5 linked regions of the Danio rerio genome follow. The protein of the gene in region 1 interacts with the protein of each later gene in a pairwise test. Links are inferred from orthologs where the notes say so. Each region holds a gene or a part of one and is shown in the gene's direction. Other genes may lie near its edges.

The links.
Region 2: the proteins of homer3b (region 1) and fryl interact in binary tests that used the Homo sapiens proteins (3 or more experiments, as listed by UniProt). The two-hybrid records come from large-scale screens. The link is inferred for Danio rerio from reciprocal best matches to the Homo sapiens genes HOMER3 and FRYL.
Region 3: the proteins of homer3b (region 1) and eaf1 interact in binary tests that used the Homo sapiens proteins (3 or more experiments, as listed by UniProt). The two-hybrid records come from large-scale screens. The link is inferred for Danio rerio from reciprocal best matches to the Homo sapiens genes HOMER3 and EAF1.
Region 4: the proteins of homer3b (region 1) and wipf1b interact in binary tests that used the Homo sapiens proteins (3 or more experiments, as listed by UniProt). The two-hybrid records come from large-scale screens. The link is inferred for Danio rerio from reciprocal best matches to the Homo sapiens genes HOMER3 and WIPF1.
Region 5: the proteins of homer3b (region 1) and pkn1a interact in binary tests that used the Homo sapiens proteins (3 or more experiments, as listed by UniProt). The two-hybrid records come from large-scale screens. The link is inferred for Danio rerio from reciprocal best matches to the Homo sapiens genes HOMER3 and PKN1.

Annotation. Positions count from the first base shown.
Region 1 is NC_133186.1:13,952,927-13,956,443, forward strand, and holds part of homer3b (homer protein homolog 3b), read left to right. Parts: intron 1-109; coding exon 110-241; intron 242-3,517. UniProt on the Homo sapiens protein: Postsynaptic density scaffolding protein. Binds and cross-links cytoplasmic regions of GRM1, GRM5, ITPR1, DNM3, RYR1, RYR2, SHANK1 and SHANK3.
Region 2 is NC_133195.1:25,915,727-25,919,786, forward strand, and holds the start of fryl (protein furry homolog-like), read left to right. Parts: upstream 1-1,253; coding exon 1,254-1,326; intron 1,327-4,060. UniProt on the Homo sapiens protein: Plays a key role in maintaining the integrity of polarized cell extensions during morphogenesis, regulates the actin cytoskeleton and plays a key role in patterning sensory neuron dendritic fields by promoting avoidance between homologous dendrites as well as by limiting dendritic branching.
Region 3 is NC_133191.1:7,232,712-7,236,228, forward strand, and holds part of eaf1 (ELL-associated factor 1), read left to right. Parts: coding exon 1-72; intron 73-150; coding exon 151-287; intron 288-465; coding exon 466-635; exon of another isoform or gene 636-3,517. UniProt on the Homo sapiens protein: Acts as a transcriptional transactivator of ELL and ELL2 elongation activities.
Region 4 is NC_133181.1:11,765,596-11,769,739, reverse strand, and holds the start of wipf1b (WAS/WASL-interacting protein family member 1), read left to right. Parts: upstream 1-1,333; 5' UTR 1,334-1,396; intron 1,397-1,643; exon of another isoform or gene 1,644-1,655; 5' UTR 1,656-1,729; intron 1,730-4,144. UniProt on the Homo sapiens protein: Plays a role in the reorganization of the actin cytoskeleton. Contributes with NCK1 and GRB2 in the recruitment and activation of WASL.
Region 5 is NC_133176.1:49,108,220-49,111,736, forward strand, and holds part of pkn1a (serine/threonine-protein kinase N1), read left to right. Parts: intron 1-168; coding exon 169-298; intron 299-563; coding exon 564-651; intron 652-2,622; coding exon 2,623-2,696; intron 2,697-2,802; coding exon 2,803-2,878; intron 2,879-2,956; coding exon 2,957-3,048; intron 3,049-3,138; coding exon 3,139-3,315; intron 3,316-3,517. UniProt on the Homo sapiens protein: PKC-related serine/threonine-protein kinase involved in various processes such as regulation of the intermediate filaments of the actin cytoskeleton, cell migration, tumor cell invasion and transcription regulation.

The DNA of each region.
Region 1 (3,517 bases):
TGGGATGTTTAATGTTTAGACCTCTCCTCAAAACAATTTTAGCATGTCATATGCGTTATTTGCATCTTAATTTTGCTAAATTTTTTGTTTTGTTTTTACTGTTATGCAGGCCATTATCAACAGCACAATCACACCTAATATGACTTTCACAAAAACATCACAGAAGTTTGGTCAGTGGGCAGACAGCAGAGCGAACACTGTGTACGGCCTTGGGTTTTCCACTGAGCAGCAACTTCAGCAGGTAAATGCATATTGTGGACTGGTAAACTGGTTTATAGATTCATGCCATATTGATGTTGTATAATTTAATTTAATAATGTTTTTAATATTATATTTTATTTTTAGGGAATCATACTAAATTATTTAAGCTTAATCCATTTATGACCCAGTAACCAGTTTGAGCATACAATAGAGTATACAAATGTCTACTTAAATATGTAACTGAAATAGCTTTTCCATTCTCTATCAAAGCTGTCTTGTTTGACCATGAAAAGTCTTTAAATTTTTTTTTTTTGTTTCCATGGCAAGTGCTTAAAAAACCTTTATTTTTAAACCTTAAAAAGTTTTTGAACCATTTGTACTAAAAAAGCACATTTCTTTCTGTTAAAATGACCAAACAGCCATCCAGAGGGTTAAGGTTGATGATGTGTGTTGAGCAAAACTAGCATAAATTGTAAAATTTTTCCTAACCAAAGAAATAAAAAGAAAAAAATTGTAATGAAAATGCATAAACACATAAAACTTCTTTCGTTTTGGGTGATGAATTAATATTAATATCTGTTGTAATAAAGAAACAGGGGTGACGCAGTGGCGCAGTAGGTAGTGCTGTCACCTCACAGCAAGAGGGTCGCTGGTTTGAGCCTCGACTCAGTTGGCTTTTCTGTGTAGAGTTTGCATTTTCTTCCTGCATTCGCGTGGGTTTCCTCCAGGTGCTCCGGTTTGCCCCACAGTCCAAAGACATGCAGTACAGTTGAATTGGGTAGGGTAAATTGCCCGTAGTGTGTGTGTGTGTGTGTGTGTGTGTGTGTGTGTGTGTGTGTGTGTGTGTGTGTGTGTGTGTGTGTGTGTGTGTGTGTGTGTGTGTGTGTGTGTGTGAATGAATGTGTGTGGATGTTTCCCAGAGATGGGTTGCGGCTGGAAGGGCACCTGCTGCATTAAAAACGTGCTGGATAAGTTGGCGGTTCGTTCCGCTGTGGCGACCCCAGATTAATAAAGGGACTAAGCCAAAAAAAAAATGAATGAATAAATGAAGAAACAGATCTCAACTTGTCCTGTTCTTGATGCTGATTGGATATTTCAGTTTCGTGCAAATTTTGTAATTCACCTAATTTTGCAGTGTGCTCAAGACCTTTGATTCCTTAGTAGCTTCTAAAACTGTGGTAAACGGCTACTGCATAAAGTTTTGACTGATATGGTACAAATATGAATATATATATATATATATATATATATATATATATATATATATATATATATATATATATATATATATATATATATATATATATATTTATGTAATAATGTCCTGCAGAAATTATGATCATGGATGAGCTAAAGCATTCAGAATTTCTTATCATGGTAGTAATAAGCAGAGTCAGGCTGAAATGCTGAAGCTATTGCTGATGATAGATGAACATGGAACAAAAGCAGCAGAACTTATATTATGCCATAGTCAAGTGCTTCTGGTTTTTCAGATTGGAATAATGTGGGTAGAAGCAGTGCGGTTTTATCAGACTGAATACATTTTAAGCTTCTGTTGTAATGTTGCTCCATCTAGTTTAATAATATACAGAACATATTAAAGTATATTTGCTTTTTACTTGTTTTCAATGAAAGTGTTTTTTGACTTTGCATGCATATCAGCCTGTTGTTGAAGACCCCCAAAAACAAAAAAATGAGCTTTTATAATGCAAAATAAGGGCTCTAGCAGAAATATGGCAACGAACTGATAGTCACAAATATAGTAGCTTTAGGGATGGATAATTTCTGGATCAATTCGGGTGTGTGAGGCTTTATTTTCGCATATTAATGATCTTTATAATGGGGATCAAGTACTGACACAAATAAAGCCTAGTTCACACTACAGGATTTTAAACATCAGCAGATCACTGTGCTGTTCACACTACATGACTTGACTTTGTGTCTTTTAATCTCTGTGGTGTTCACACTACGCAACACTCCGTGAACGATCCACAAGAGGGGGGTCACACACTACATGATCTGACAACAACTCATTCCCCATCAGCTCATTCAAGATACCAAACCACAGCCAATGAAAATTTGAGGGAGGAGTCGTCAGAAAAAGCGGAACACTATTGGCTGCTTGTGTGCTGATGACATCACTGACAGCGTTTCAAGCTTTGGAGAAAGCATTTAAAAACATAGTCAAATCAGCTGATTTATCAGCGGATTAATCACTCATCTGCAAGGTTCCAGTGGAAAGATATACAGAGAGTTTTTAATTTTTGTAATTTTATAACTCTTTGAAATAAAACTAACATATTTATAACACCCTGCCGTTTTCTAACTATCAGTGTATTTCTTTCTGACATTGTTATTTTTTTTATTACAAAACAGTAAAGAACTGAGCATTTCTGCCTTAAATTACCATATTGGTCAAAATGACTGCATGCATGGCTGATACTTTTCGCTGTGACTTTAAATGTGTGTGCATTTTCTTGCCTGGCAACTTCCTGCTAACATAAACAAAACTTTCTGATGGCAAAAACATCAATTTACTTCAGATATCTTTCAAAACAGCATATTCTGTGCTGTTAAATAGCTCCTGTTTGAAAGTGAAAATGAAAGCCAAGACCTTTAAGTGTTTTAGTATCTTAACTACATATTTATAGGCTGTATTACCAAAAAATATTATATTTTTAGGGTAATAGTGTCATTAAATATGATGCCAAACATTCAAAGCTTAATTATAATATCTTAATAATAGCTTTGAATGTAAATATGTTGTGACAGTATGGCGTTTATATAAGAACGGTCAGAATGAGCAGTATGGTAATTCTAATAGTTAAAGAATTCTAGTTCCACTGTTAATATAGCCTACTCTCATGTCTGTGCTAACGCAGAATGAAGCGAGTGCGTTGATGCCCATTCTGACCAATCACAGATGTTTCTGCTGAGCTCCTGAACACACAGGCATTCAGCTTATGCTGATATGCTCTCTCATTGGCTGCAGCTCGTTACTATATCTGACCACACGTGGGGTTGAGCCGGCCGACTGCTCTGGAATATTTAGCATGCTGAATGTTGGATTTCCGTCTGCGAGGTGTCGGCGACGCGTCAGCGAGCCTCGTTGATGTGTTGTTTAGTAGTTCACACATAAAGAGCGGCGAGCACCGAGCACCCGCAGATTTCTTCCCGATCACAGCCCGATCTGTCGGCGAGCTCGTTAACTTCCAAATCGAGCTCAAATCAGGCTTAAAATCCTCTAGTGTGAACTAGGCATAAGGGATCCGATTAGATCTACTAGACACACCCCAGACATGATGCTTCAGACAAG
Region 2 (4,060 bases), on another chromosome or scaffold:
GCAAGTAACGTTAAAGGGTTAAACAAATACTGCACAGCACTACTACAATTACCAAATAGCTTGGTGTTATAATTCACTTAGATTTTAATATGTTTTGGTGTGATTTATAACCTGCTATTAAAAAAAACCCCAACAAAAACGGAAGGTTTGAATGAAAAGCTGTATTGTAGCCGTGGTGGAAAAGAATTTTGGTGTTGCGTCCTGCTATGGAAGAATGAATGTAGCTGAAACCTCGCATTGTAGTGATGCGTGATTATCTAAAACTCAGTAAAGTGAGCTGCAGAGATGGTTAAACAAGTATTTGAAACTAGTTTGTAGTTAGTAGATGTTTTACGTGTCCTATTCTCTTCCATCTTGCCCGACTGCCTTTTAGCCTTTTTTTAAAGTCACTTCTGTCTCACACACCTACTCTAGATTTCAGTCTCCCCCTCAGTCTTTGTCTCTACCTCTCTCACTTTACTGCAGTTAGTGGTGACACATCAGTGTTGCTACAGGAAGTTTGCGTTTTCACAAGCCTCTGAAGAAAAGGATGGAGCAATAGAGGAGAGAGTGAGGCGGTAGCCGTAATGACATGTATTTGAAGCGCTGGAGTGAAGCCAGAGCAGGCTAGCAGCGTGCTGATGACATCACCCTCCCCTCCTTCTATTCTGCCATTGAAACAAACGCTCTCTTCACAGAGCAAGAGAGAGGGAGGGCGATGGAGAGAGAGCCATACGGAGTGAATGAAAGTGGGTGCTTATCCTTCAGGCACTAGGACCCAGCACAGACAGGAAGAGTTACGCGAGCAAGAGAGAGTGTTGCTACTCTCTGCTGGGAGTCCATCCTCACCATTCTCTCGTTCACTTAGGCGCTGAGACATTAACGGAACAAAGTTTGTCCTCGCAGCGTTGCAGGCTGTACAGAGCAGATGATACTCACTCAAGACATTTGAGGACACAGCTTTGTCTCGTTTTTCTTGTCGTAATTTGTCTTGCTCACTTGTTTCCACTTCTGCTGGATCTTATGGGCCTCTCGGAGCCCTGCAGCTGATGTGAGTGTGTGTGTGTGTGTGTGTGTATGCGCCCACACGTGAGTGTCATTGCACATTCGGCAGCATGCGCTTCTTCGCAAGCCTGGGCAGAGGCTGAAACTTTGCCTGCCTGAAGGCAAGACGAGATGTGCGGGTGAGCTCAACGGACGTTTGGAGCGCAAAGCCAGCGGGACTGGCTGCAGAAACCAGTGCCTTCACTTACCCACAGTCCTCTGGTGGCGTCATGCTGAGTCTGCAGGATTCTGTGTTCTTTGAGATCAGCATCAAATCTCTCCTTAAGTCCTGGAGTGGGAACTGTAAGTAACACTCTCTGATGCATACACCGTGTGCTTTATGATGATGAAACATCCAGATTTGCATATAGAGTCTGGAATGGTGTATGATGGATTCCTAAAAAGTGCTGGTTGCGACAGGCCTGCAAACACACCCTCCTCTCTGCATAGATGCAGAACTGTGCCGCTCAATTGTTGGAGAATGATGCTGAAATTACATTTTGGTTGTGCGTTGCGTCATTGGAGCATTACACACACTTGACTTGACCAGCAAAGATTTAGGGGTCATTGTTATGTTCTGACCTATTCCAGCCCAAAACCTAAGCAGTACTATTTCATATGTTCATATTCTCGTTTGGCCGCTTTTCAGCAGTGGGTTTTGCATTCTGTGGAGTGGTTGGTTTTATGGCTCCTGCTCATCGCCAGCTTCTCCACCTTGTTCTCTGTCCTCATTTCATGTCCTTTTGAGGGTCTTGGGTTTCACGTGATGATGGTCTGACAGCGTAGGAAGTGGCGTATAGGATAATGGTGGAAGAGCCAGTGAAGAGTCCGATCAATGAAAGGAAACATTAGCAATCCCGGTGGAGAAAAAGAGCAACGGGATAAGAATTGTACACGCAGTCATACTGATTTCAACACACACACACGCACAGTATAATCTATATGCTTATACAGACACATGATGTGTTTCTAAGATTACTTTTTTTTATTTTTTTATTATTATTTTTTTATATATATAAACAGTTTGAAGGTATTTTTCTAATAATCTGTTTTGTAATCAGGACTTGTAGCCCAGTCCAGGAAAGGAAGAAAATAATTCACACGTAATTACATTAGTCTGAATGAATTGGCCAAATGTGATTTAAATTTCATTAATATTATTAGGGGTGCTTTAAATGTTGGAAATCTAATCCGTCCAATAGGACATAAATACTTCTAATGTAAATACTTGATTGAAAATAGAAACTGGAACGTTCTGTGCATGTGGGTGATGTCTTAAATGACTGTTTTTTGGATGTGTTTACGTCAACAGATGCATTCTTTAAGATGCAGAAAAGTAGGACTGCACGATGTTGGAAAAATCTGATATTGTGATTTTTTTTTTTCTGCAATAATTATTGTAATATGAATACAGTTTCACAAGATATGTTGAATAGCTCTGTTTGACTGTTTTCTGTATTGAAGTACAGAAATTGAATAACCACAATGCAAAAAAAATTCCCTTTTGTCTCATTACTAGTCCAAATATCTAAACAAAAATTTTAGATCAAGTAAAAATATTTTTTTGTTTTCAACTTTAGAAGAAATAAAAGTTTTTTTGTTTTTTTTTTCTAAAAACAAGCTAAATTTTCTACCAGTGGAGTAAAACAATCTTGTTTTTGCTTTGAAATGTACGTATTTGGACAAGAAACAAGACAAAAATTTTAAGCGAGGGAACCTTTTTTTTTTCTTTTGCATAAATTCCGTATAAAAAAACTGTAATTAAATACAATTCTTTAGCTCCTGGTCAACTATAATCCAGACTCCACATTGTATATCTTGCAATGTGACTATTGCAGGTGCACATATTGCAATATCGATACTGAAACAATTGTGCAGCCCTGCCGAAAAGTCAATTTTTCTTTTTGATTAATTTAAATATTGTGACTCAAAAGATAAGCATTGTGACTTCTGTTTAAGAATGGCTAGTCAGTATGTGTGTTAAGTGTTATATTTGTCTATACGATTAAAGTTTATGGCAAAAGGTGTTTGTTAACCTAGCTTAATTTATTATAAAACTGATTAAAAAAACAAACAAACATTGCTGTTAAAAAGGTAATATTGTTTTATTTTTATTATTTTAAAACTGTTTTCTAATTTGCATCTGATTTGAGCATGTAGTTCTCAATATTGTTTGATTTAAATTCAAATTTAAATATAGTAATTCTATTCCTAAAATATTCATAGTACATGTATTTTTAATTTTACATTATACACCGATGCATGAACTCTTGTGAATGTGTGTGTTTTCAAATTTTTTTATTTTTTATTTTTTTTAAAGAACAAGCAGATGTTTCATTTCAGGATGTAAATTGAGCCGTTTGTGGATAATTTCTCTAAAGCATTGAACAGAAGTCATGCCTTGCAGGTCCATCTGCAGTGAGAGGCTAAATTCAGCTTTTATATCCAAAAACATTACTATTTTTTTTTTATTTTTATTTTTTATTTCTGCCGTGCTTCTGCCATCAGTTAGCATTACCATCCACAAGTTTGTGGATTTTTTGATATTCAGTGATATGATGTAATTTATGAATATAGCAGTTTAATAGTCAGTGTTGACTGTAAGTACATAAAAAGCTTGTTACGTTGGTCACTGTTGGAGAAATGTCACTTGGAGTTGGCATGCAACAGTAGTCTCGCTTTCGTCCCCTCCTCTCTCCAATCTTGTGTGTTGATGCCAATTCCTGTACGTTGGGCCTCTCTGTTCAAACAATGAGGAGCGAGACCTAGTTTCAAGAGCTGTGGCAACATCCAACCGAGCCTGTGGACACATCCACTCTGCCCACTGCCCGACTCTGGTTATAAGTCAGGTCAAAAACATAACTTTGTCCCTCAGTAAAACTTAATGTAAAATCTGCAAGGGTATTCTGTTCAATCTGTGTTGTGTTGCAAGTCTACGGAGAAACTTGATCAAAGAGATTGGTGGAATTTGGGCATGTTGAGACACTGCTGAAATAATGTTGACACTTCATTACAGCCATAGCAGATTAATCTCGTT
Region 3 (3,517 bases), on another chromosome or scaffold:
GATACGTCCTGTGAAGGAGATTTACAAGTGGGAAAAGGAGATGAGGTTACCATCACTTTACCACACATACCAGTAAGAGCAGCGTTCTCTTTAACATTTATATCCGCTTATGTATGACAGCCTTTCTAGAATACTCTGATTTCTCTTTAGGGCTCCACTCCACCAATGACGGTGTTTAAGGGCAACAAAAGGCCTTATCAGAAAGACTGCGTTCTCATCATCAATCACGACACTGGGGAGTTTATGTTGGAGAAGCTGAGCAGCAGCATACAGGTCAAGAAAACACGGTGAGCAGACATAAATCCTGTAGAGCGTTATATGATGTAAACAGTTGCAGTAGTGTTGTTACGATAACTAACACCGTGTCCTAACAACATGACAGACAGAAGCCATATGATTTTGTCACATTGTGCAGCATTTGCGCTGTAATATGACCTGGAAAGGTGTGTGATGTTGTGTTTTTAGAGCTGAAGGCAGCAGTAAAATCCAGGCTCGTATCGAGCAGCAGTCAGTGAGAGCGAACCAGCTGACGACCCCACAGTTCCGCACGCCAAACAAACCAGGACTGGGCGCCAAAACCTCCCCTACCAAAGACAACCCTTCACCAGAGCCTCAGCTGGACGACATCAAACGAGGTCAGATATTCACACTCGCTATTATACCATAGTGTGCTTAATGCACTACATACATAACAAGTGTTCTTCAGCCACTGATAAACTTACTGCTGAAAGGCTTTAATTTCACAAGGTTTCTTTTACAGCATCGATAATTTAATTTAATTTAAATATAATCAGTAAATAGACTTCAGCATTTATTTTATTGTTCAACGGTAGAACAAGGTGAAAGATTGTTTAAATGCAGGCACCGTCAGGAGCAGCAGGCGAGTGCCGAAACTCCATTGAAAATACTGTGGTAAAATGATTTTTCATATTTTAATGACATGACACTGGAATTTAATGCAGTGTTTCTTGTCAGCTGTGAGACCCACTTTATATCATATGTCAATCAGGCAGTGAACATCATTAATTTAAAACAAGTCTGATCTTACATGCTATGATTGAATTATTAATTTTTCATTGCTTATTCAAAATTAAAAGTCCCCATGCATATACCCATTAACTGTTTTCTTTAAAAGCACGTTTTCAGTTGTGTAGCAAGCAAAACTTGTCCTAATGTGCAATATTTTATGCATGTAAGGATCTCTGGTCTCACTCTCTCAGTCTTTGTTCTAAAGTGCCTGTCATTGTTCGAAAATGAACCTATGTGAATATAAAACCAACTTCACCTCAGTAAAGCAGGCTAGGCGGAATAGCGCTATTTACTTATGATTTGTTGTTAAACTCAATAAAAACCTACATTATCAATCCTGTAAAAAGCCTTATAAAACTGAAAATAGTCACGTCAATCTTTCACCAAAAGATTTCAGTGGCTGAACAACACTTCTGTGCATATAACCCATTTGTAAGGCAATACAATCTACACCATCTTTGCGTGAGTAAAAGAGTTTTAAAACAGGACATTACCTGTTGAACAGAAATACTTCAGCTTTGGTGTCGTCCTTCCTCCAGCGTGCTAAACTAACTTCAATATTGATTGAGGATTTTAAAAAGTTTTGATTCAGCGTTTGTTTTTACCGATGTCACTCTCTCTTGTGTGCATGTGAGCACGGCGCACAAGAACACGCAAGCGATGGATATGCGTCAACAGATTTGTGCTGACGTACAAGTCTACATTTGTTGACAGACAGTTTGGGCGTCTAATCAGAATTATGGGAGATGTTGGCCCAACAAATTTTAATTGGATGAACATTTTTTTAGTTTTATGCCTTACCCAGAATATAACAATACATATAAATACATATAGATCATTACTATTGGAATGTAAAGACAGTTTCAACCAGCACAACAAAATAAGTTTCTGAAGACAATCACCTACTGCACGTTTAATGATACTAAATGTTATTAGCTTTAGGGCAAGTTCACTCAAAGAACGATAACATTAACTTGAAGCATAACTGTAGCTAAATTTGTGTCCACACCAGTAAATGATAACAGTCTGTTTATTATAAAACTGATTTTCAGGGTTTATTCATTCATTCATTCATTCATTTTCTTGTCGGCTTAGTCCCTTTATTAATCCGGGGTCGCCACAGCGGAATGAACCGCCAACTTATCATACACTACGGACAATTTAACCAGCCCAATTCACCTGTACCGCATGTCTTTGGAGCACCCGGAGGAAACCCATGCGAACGCAGGGAGAACATGCAAACTCCACACAATAACGCCAACTGAGCCGAGGCTCGACCCAGCGACCTTCTTGCTGTGAGGAGAACGTGCTACACACTGCGCCACTACGTCGCCATTTTTAGGGTTCAATAAAACAAAAATAAATTAGAATGCCAGTGTTATTTTAGTTAAGGATGCACTGATATTAAAAATTCAGCAAATACTGGAGACTGATAACTCTTTATACTTGGCTGCTGATTGCATATTGTCCAGTTATGCATTTTCTGAGCCTAATTGCTAAAATTAAACACAAACACAGTGATTGAATTTGAAAATCGTAGCTTTTTAATTGCTTCATGACAGTCATGTTTATGACAGATTTATGACACATTTTGTTGTCTTGGTAATGTCAAGCTGTCATGCCGCAGACAAAAACAGGTTTTATGTAATGTTGTCATCACAAACAATGTCATCTCTACATTTTAAAATGTCATTATGAATGCGTCATGACACTTAAGGCTGATGTATGCTTCTGCGTCAAGCGCATGCGTATGGTCCAGCGCAGCCTTCGCGTGGTCGCATAGCCCTCGCCATGGCTGATGTCGACACTGACCTCTCAAAAAATGTAACTACATGTCACAACGACGCATAGCGCAAGCTCTGTGATTGGTCAGCTTGGTAGCTGTGACGAATGTGGGCGGTGCTGATGGCTGCGAGCCTGATGAAGCGAGTGTTTACATGTGTCGAGTCCCATGAAGGAGCTCCAGATGGAAACTTTTGTTTTGCGTTTACTTCATGATTAAAGTTTCGCCACCGTTCCCGCTTTTAAATGAGCGAGTTTTAGCTACTTGTACATTTAGGTAGCGTTTATAAAAAACAAAACGCACACGAAGAAACTAAACACAAATGAACAAAAACCCCTACTGCCAAATAGCTTTTTGGAAGTGTTATTGCAGAGCAACACAAACAGCAACCAGATGTATAAATGCACGGCTACACGCAAGCCAGACACCATGGGTCACGCTGATCACTCGACGCAGAAGTGTAAACCAGCCTTTAATGATGGTTGTTAAAAGCATGCACAAAATTTCATTGGCATTTATGACAATTTGGACTTGTACAATGTATTTTGGCTACTCCCACAAACATACCTGTGCAATAGGCAGGGCCAGACTGAATCTGCGGACGTTTTTTGCTATTTTTGCAGAGAATTTTGGTAAAAATCTGTGGATTTCTGCTGAATTATTTTGGGAGTATCCAGCAGAGAATCATAACTAAAACCTTAATAT
Region 4 (4,144 bases), on another chromosome or scaffold:
TGATAAAAACCGAGGTTCTGCCTAGCCAAAGACAAGGAAAGACGACGGAACTGTACAAGGCCTGGGTAATCACCAACAAGCAAAATAACTGCATTCTGACAGCGAAATCCACCTGTACGGCAGGGTATGTGAATGTACATTTTTACATTTTATTCTAAGCATTCACTGTCCGCAGTTTAATTAACCAAATTTAACTGTTTGTTAAATCATTGCTGCAATCAAAAACGAGTAATGAGTATGATTCAGCATAGAGTGTACTTACTTGATATAACATAAGAACTGCAGAGTCGAGCATTTTTAATTAGGTCCTCACACCATTCAGCTCTCCTGATGGCTGTTTGTCAAAGATGTCTGCAGTTGGCATTAAAAGCTGTGTGGTGTTTGGAGTTTGGGCTTAATTTATTTTTTATTTAATTAATTTAATTTAATATTTAAAATAATTTCATATTTAATTTAGAATTTGGCATCCTACCGCACAACACGACATGTTTGCTATTGCAACTGGTCTTTTTTGCAACCGGAATGCCTGGTTGAACCTGTGTGACGTCATCTGTGACATAAATTGATAATTCCTATATAGTCTTATAATAATGTAATGTTATGTAATAATAATATTACAAAATAAAATATCCATCATTGAGTGGTCCAGCAGTCATATTTATAAAAAAATGAATGCATTATTTTTACTTGCAAATTCATTTTTTTAAAAACACATTTAAAATGTAGAAAAGAAGATTGAGTGATATAACAAACAGCAATATAGATAAAAAATAAATAAGAGTAGAAAGGGTGCATTTCAGGACTTGGGCCGCATGGCTGGAATTGCTTGGGGCCCCAAAAACATGAAATCTACCCCTTGCTGTATGTCTATGGGAAATCCTCATAACAATAAAAAAACTAAATGTTGTGTGCTTGGACTGACAAAATTTGCACTTTATTAGAAGCAACTTGACAAAACAGTCACCATTTTGGTACTGTAAAAAGCATGCACGTGATAGAAGAAGACAAGCTAATCCAGCACAAAATATTTCATAAAATATCATCAAAATGGTCTACTTTTAGAGAAAAAGACAACCCCCCCCCCCCCCCCCCCCCACTCGCTACGGATACTGTTGTATTCTTAATCAAATAGTTGCAACATTTAAACAACAAAAGAGTTTTCTGTCAAAAAACATTATTTTATTTAGCTTTTTCCAAAATGTGACTGACATGTCTGTGACTTTTCCCCACACAGAGCTCAGTTTTGTGTCACACACACACTTGCAACAGTTTGACAGATGTTTGAGCTCAGTCAGTCAGTCAGTCAGTCAGTCACATCTGGACGTTGCATCACAGACGAATGTCCCGGATAAAGAGAACGAAGAGTCTGCTGTTCTGCTGGAGGAAGAAAAACTGGGTAAAGAAACGAATTAAAAAGATATCGCGTCCAATTCAAGACATTGGGTTGTACTTCTCTCATTTAAAGAGATGTGATACTGCTTATATGTGCTGAATTGCTACTTGCGGCGTTCAAGCGATGAGCTTTGAATGTTTATTCCAGCTAATGTGATGGACTTGTAGGCAGGACGCTGGGCGGAAACAGCGGGGAGAACTTGCGTGTGTGTTTCTGCCATGAAGGAGTGGCCCAAAACTTGTGTTCCTCTGTGTTTGTGTAGATGCTTGATGAGGATGAGTGTTGCTGCGTTCGGTTCGTAAGCGGTGGACGCGCAGTAAAAGACGCAAAGCACCGGTAAGTGTTTACGCAGACTGTTGCTGTATAAAACGCTCGAGTTATGGATGTAGTCTGTGATTTGACCTTGCTGTGCATTTCTTAACGCAGCCTACTTGTAGTGTTGAGTCAGTTTTCAGTGTGTGGATGAGGTGTTCAGTTTAAATAGCTATTTTCCTCCACAAAAGCACAAGCAGTGCCAACTTTTGGGGGAAGCAAAGTCTCCCCCACTTCCTGGGTTGCCAGTTTGAGCGTATATTTGTGGCAGGGTTAATAAGGTTGTTTTCTCCTGTAGTTTAGACACACAAGGCAGCTTCTTAAAACAAAATACTGCAAATTCTTATAAAGAACAGTTGACATATCAAGTTCATCCATTCTGATAGCTGCAAGCGAGTTCTTATTGGCTAACGAATCGTTCTTTTGAGCCGAATCTTTAATTGAATCGGCTAAAAATAGAACCGAGCGATTTGTTTTGACGTTCTGGTGTTCAATTCTTAACTTTTGGATAAATTTGTATAAACAAAAGCGTATTCAAATTAATTAAATATATAGGACATTATCAACCACAGTAATCGTTTAACTTGAATTGTTCAACTGACTGTGAAACGACCATTCAAAAGAACCGATTCATAGAGTAACTCGAACTAGTAGGAGCATGTGTTTGTAATTGAAAGGCCATGGGGTCTCCACAGTGAGATGCAATGCAAGTCATATGCTTTGCTCCTTCCTTTTTTTCTTTCATCTTTTTCTCCTTGTGAATTAAAAACCTCATTATTTTGTGCCACCAGTGTCACGAGTTATTTCAAATGCAGTGTCCGCTCAGTTCTTTAAAATGGTTACCTCAGATTAGAATTAGTTGGTATTGGGTTCAATAGGTTAGTTATTGTCAGTTTGTTTGACAGTTGACTGTTTTGTTCATTGGAAACTGTTAAGTGAGCTTTTTTCTTGCATTAAACACTTTTATGAGGCTGTAAATGCTAATGTTAATGTGCAGTTGAGCTCTCGATGTATTTCATGTGGTTTTCTGCAAGTGTGAAAGTGTGACACTTAAGCAATGGTTTTAAAATCACAGAGTGCTACTATTGAAAGCATGAGCTTAGCTGTGCAGTGTTTAGTTTAGTTTAGTCAAATTAGAATGCATACGAGTTCCCTCTCTGCATTAACTTCCCCTCTTTGACAGAAGTACTGTCATCACTTCTACTTCTCTCTTGTCTGGTTAATGTTCTGTCTATTTGACCAGTGATTTGAAGAGAGTCTGAAATCATGTGACCGACAGAATCTGAGATCATCCGTTTGCTACAGAGCTGCAGGCAGCCAGAAGTGTCAACATTATGCTGAGTTTCAGAAAGGAAGTGGACAATACTGCCTACTAAGTGATGGAAAGACAGAATCAGAGACAGCGGGCACATTATGTGCTTGAACACGCTCATATTATGCTAGCTGAGCGAGCTGCTCTTTTGCTTCTGATGTGGTGTTGCAAGCAAACATTGCAAAGTGCAAATGACAGAAATTCTGCTTTACAGTAAGATATGACGCTTTCAAATAAACTACCGTTCGTTTCTCTGTGGGCGGCCCCTTCCTGCCTCATTCTGCATGTGTGATCTAGCAGGTTGTGGTTGAAGGAATCCACCCGTCAGTTCTTACTTGAGGTAATATTATTTGAAAAAAAAGTTGATTTCATGTTCAGGGTCTTTGAGTGCATCTCAAAAATGCACGTTCACATTTTCACTTGCTTTTGTAAGCAAGTGTGCTTGTGTTCTTTAATGAGGGAAAGAATTAAAAACATCAGATAAAGCACATACATATTCAGTTACTGATTTAAAGATGCTGAATGTATGTATATAAGACAAAACACACACACACACTTACCGGCCACTTTATTAGGTATGTTAGGCTTATTAATGCAAATTTCTAATCAGCCAATCACATGGAAGCAACTCAATGCATTTAGGCATGTAGACATAGTCAAGATGATCTGCTGCAGTTCAAACCTCAGAGCATCAGAATGGGGAAGAAAGGTGATTTTGAATGTGGCATGGTTGTTGGTAATCTGAGTATTTCAGAAACTGCTGATCTACTTGGATTTTCATGCACAACCATCTCTAGGGTTTACAGAGAATGGACCAAAAAAAAAAGAAAATATACAGTGAGCGGCAGATCTGTGGGCACAAATGCATTGTTGATGCCAGAGGAGAATGGCCAGACTGGTTCCAGCTGATAGAAAGGCAACAGTAACTCCAATAACGACTCGTTACAACCGAGGTATGCAGAAGAGCATCACTGAACACACAACACATCAAAATTGAGACGGACAAGCTACAGCAGCACAAGACCACATGGGGTGCCACTCCTGTCAGCTAAGAACAGGAAACTGAAGCTACAATTCACACAGGCTCACCAAAATTGGACAATAGAAGAAGAGAAAAACATTGCCTA
Region 5 (3,517 bases), on another chromosome or scaffold:
CACCATTCTTCAGTATATCATCCTTTGTGTTCAATAGAAGAAAGAAAATCAAACAGATTTGGAACAAGAGGATGGGTAAATGATGGCATGAGGTCAGTGAGCTCCATCTAGTGGTCAGTGTTGTAACTTTTCTCTTTTGTGTATGTGTTTGTTTGTGATCATACACAGGTAAAGCATTTTTGCGAGCTCGACAGATGAACGTTGATATTGGCACATTCGTGAGGTTACTGAGGAACGCCATACCAACCGTCAACAACACAGGAACCTACAGCCCTAACGCGCACACTCTACAGACTGGGTAAATCACACACACCATCAGATGTGCCTGTACCATCTTCCGCAATTTGTAATAACAGTGTCAACAAAACAAAAACGGTTGCTTGTGTATCTTTTTGTTAAGGTTATAATGTTACACAAATAGTACATATTTAGATAAAATGGTAGATTTACATCTTTGTCATCCTGTTTATTATTTATAAAAGTCTAAAATGTCCATACTTAACTGAAATTACATTTGTTCTTAGATATTTTTTTGCAGTTACTAACATATGTGTTTGTTACAGGGAGATATCAGTGGAGAAGTTGAGTTTAGATTTTGATTCACCAATGAAGGTGGACATCCGGCGGGAGGTGACAGATATAAGCACTCCGGTTAGAGACTTTCTCTCTCTTTTAACGTCTTTATTCTTTCTTTTTTTTTTACTTTAAATCCTCTCATATGTAAGCTTTTTCCCTTCCTCCATAACCCCTCCCATCTACTTTAACCCCTCCTCTTTAAATGTAATTCCTCCTGTTTAACTACTGTATAACGCCTCTATATTTAGCCCCTCTTATAAAGCAGCTTCTCTCTTATTCTTTTCATCTCTGTAGCCTCCTGTTTTTCTGTGATTCTTTTTTTATATGTAGACCCTCTCATCCACCCTTAACTCCTCTTATTTATATTCCCCGTTTTATCTATATGTAACTACTTTATAATGAACCCCTCTCATTTATCTGTAACTTCTCCTCTTTACATTTATCCCCTTCTAACTATCTGCAACTCCTATTTATGTTAAACCTCTCCCATCTATATTTAACCCCTCCGCTTTATATTTAATCTGTTATATCTATATGTAACTCCTTCATATTAAGCCCCTCCCATCTACCTGTAACTCCTCCTCTTTATATTAAGCCCCTCCCATTTATCGGTAACCCCTCCTCTTTATATTTAATCTGTTTTATCTATATGTAACTCCTTTATATTAAGCCCCTCCCATCTACCTGTTACTCCTCTTCTTTATATTAAGCCCCTCCCATCTATTGGTAACTTCTCTTTATATTAAGCCCCTCCCATCTATCTTTAACCCCTCCTCTTTATATTTAATCTGTTTTATCTATATGTAACTCCTTTATATTAAGCCCCTCCCATCTACCTGTTACTCCTCTTCTTTATATTAAGCCCCTCCCATCTATTGGTAACTTCTCCTCTTTATATTAAGCCCCTCCCATCTATCTGTAACCCCTCCTCTTTATATTTAATCTGTTTTATCTATATGTAACTCCTTTATATTAAGCCCCTCCCATCTACCTGTTACTCCTCTTCTTTATATTAAGCCCCTCCCATCTATTGGTAACTTCTCTTTATATTAAGCCCCTCCCATCTATCTTTAACCCCTCCTCTTTATATTTAATCTGTTTTATCTATATGTAACTCCTTTATATTAAGCCCCTCCCATCTACCTGTTACTCCTCTTCTTTATATTAGGCCCCTCCCATCTATCGGTGAATTCTCCTCTTTATATTAAGCCCCTCCCATCTATCTGTAACCCCTTCTCTTTATATTTGATCTGTTTTATCTATATGTAACTCCTTTATTAATGTAACTCCTTTATTAAGACTCTCCTATCTATCTGTAACTCCTCTTTATATGAAGTCCCTTCCATCTATCTGTAACCCCTCCTCTTTATATTAAGCCCATCCCAACTATGTATAACTCTTCCTCTTTATATTAAGCCCCTCCATTTATATCTGCAACTCCTCCTCCTTATAATGCACCCCTTCTATCTGTCTGCATCTTCTTCTCTCAATATTAAGCACGTCCCATCCATAACTTCTTCTCTTTATATTTAGCCCCTTCTAACTATCTGCAACTCATCTTTATATTAAGCCCCTCCATTTAAACCTGCAACTCCTCCTCTTTATAATGCACCCCTCCCATCAGTCTGCATCTCCTCCTCTCTATATAAAGCCCCTCAAATCTATATTTTATACCCCTATATTTTGCCCATTCATCTTCATAACACCTCCCCGTTAAATCAAGCCACTCCCATCTATCCATAACCCCTCCTCTTTATATGTAAACTGTTCTGAGTATATGTAACTTCTTTATAATGAGCCCCTCCCATATATCTACAGCTCCTCCTCTTTATATTAAGCTCCTCCCATCTGCCTGTAACTACTACTTTTTATATTTAACCTATTAAGTCTTGATAAACCTATTAAATTTCTTTATAATGAACACCTCTCAACTATAATCACTCCTCTATAAATTTAGTCCCTCCTATCTATCTGCAGCCCCTCCTCTTTGTATTTAGCCCCTCCCATTGGTCTCTAACTCCTCCCCTTTCTTTTTTTCTTTCATAGGAGAGGCAGCCGTCCACCGAGCCTCTCTCTGCTCCAGACGTCACCACGCCTATCAGAACACACTCATTGAGCAGGTACCGTCAAACACATAACTCCCACTATATCTAAGGTATTTTTGTGTTTTTTAAGTGTGTGTGTCTGTGTGTGTGTGTGTGTGTGTGTGTGTGTGTGTGTGTGTAGTAAACAGAAGAAGACTTCTCTGAGCCTGCAGGATTTCCGACTAATTGCAGTTCTTGGCAGAGGCCATTTTGGAAAGGTGATTTTCTGCCTTCTTCACCCTCAGCTTCTCTTTCTCTTTGAGTTTAGTTTCTCATGTCATATCTGTGTCTATCAGGTGCTGCTGGCGGAATATAAGAAGTCAGGGAGTATGTATGCCATTAAAGCTCTAAAGAAAGGAGACATTGTAGCCAGAGATGAAGTAGAAAGGTAAACATAAGAGCTTTTTTTTCGGGGATTTTGCTTTGAGTTGAAGTTTGTTCCTGATTTCTTTATTTTCTTTCTCTGTTTTTTCATCAGTTTGATGTGTGAGAAGCGTATTTTCGAGGCAGTGAACGGTGCACAACACCCCTTCCTTGTCAACCTGTTTGCGTGTTTCCAGACTCCAGAACATGTGTGTTTTGTGATGGAGTACACAGCAGGCGGTGACCTCATGATGCACATACATGCAGACGTCTTCACCGAGCCACGGGCTGTGTACGTACACCCTGTTTTAGCCAGGTTTTGTTTACTGTATAATTAAAAATCTCAAAATCATCTACAGCAGAGTAGATAAGGATATTTTAAAACGTCTTTTATGTTGGGCTCAGTCTATGTTTTAAACACATTTTTTTGCATTCTTGCTTCATTCTTCAGTTTCACATGAATGGGTTTTTGCTGAAGACACTTTTTTGAGTTC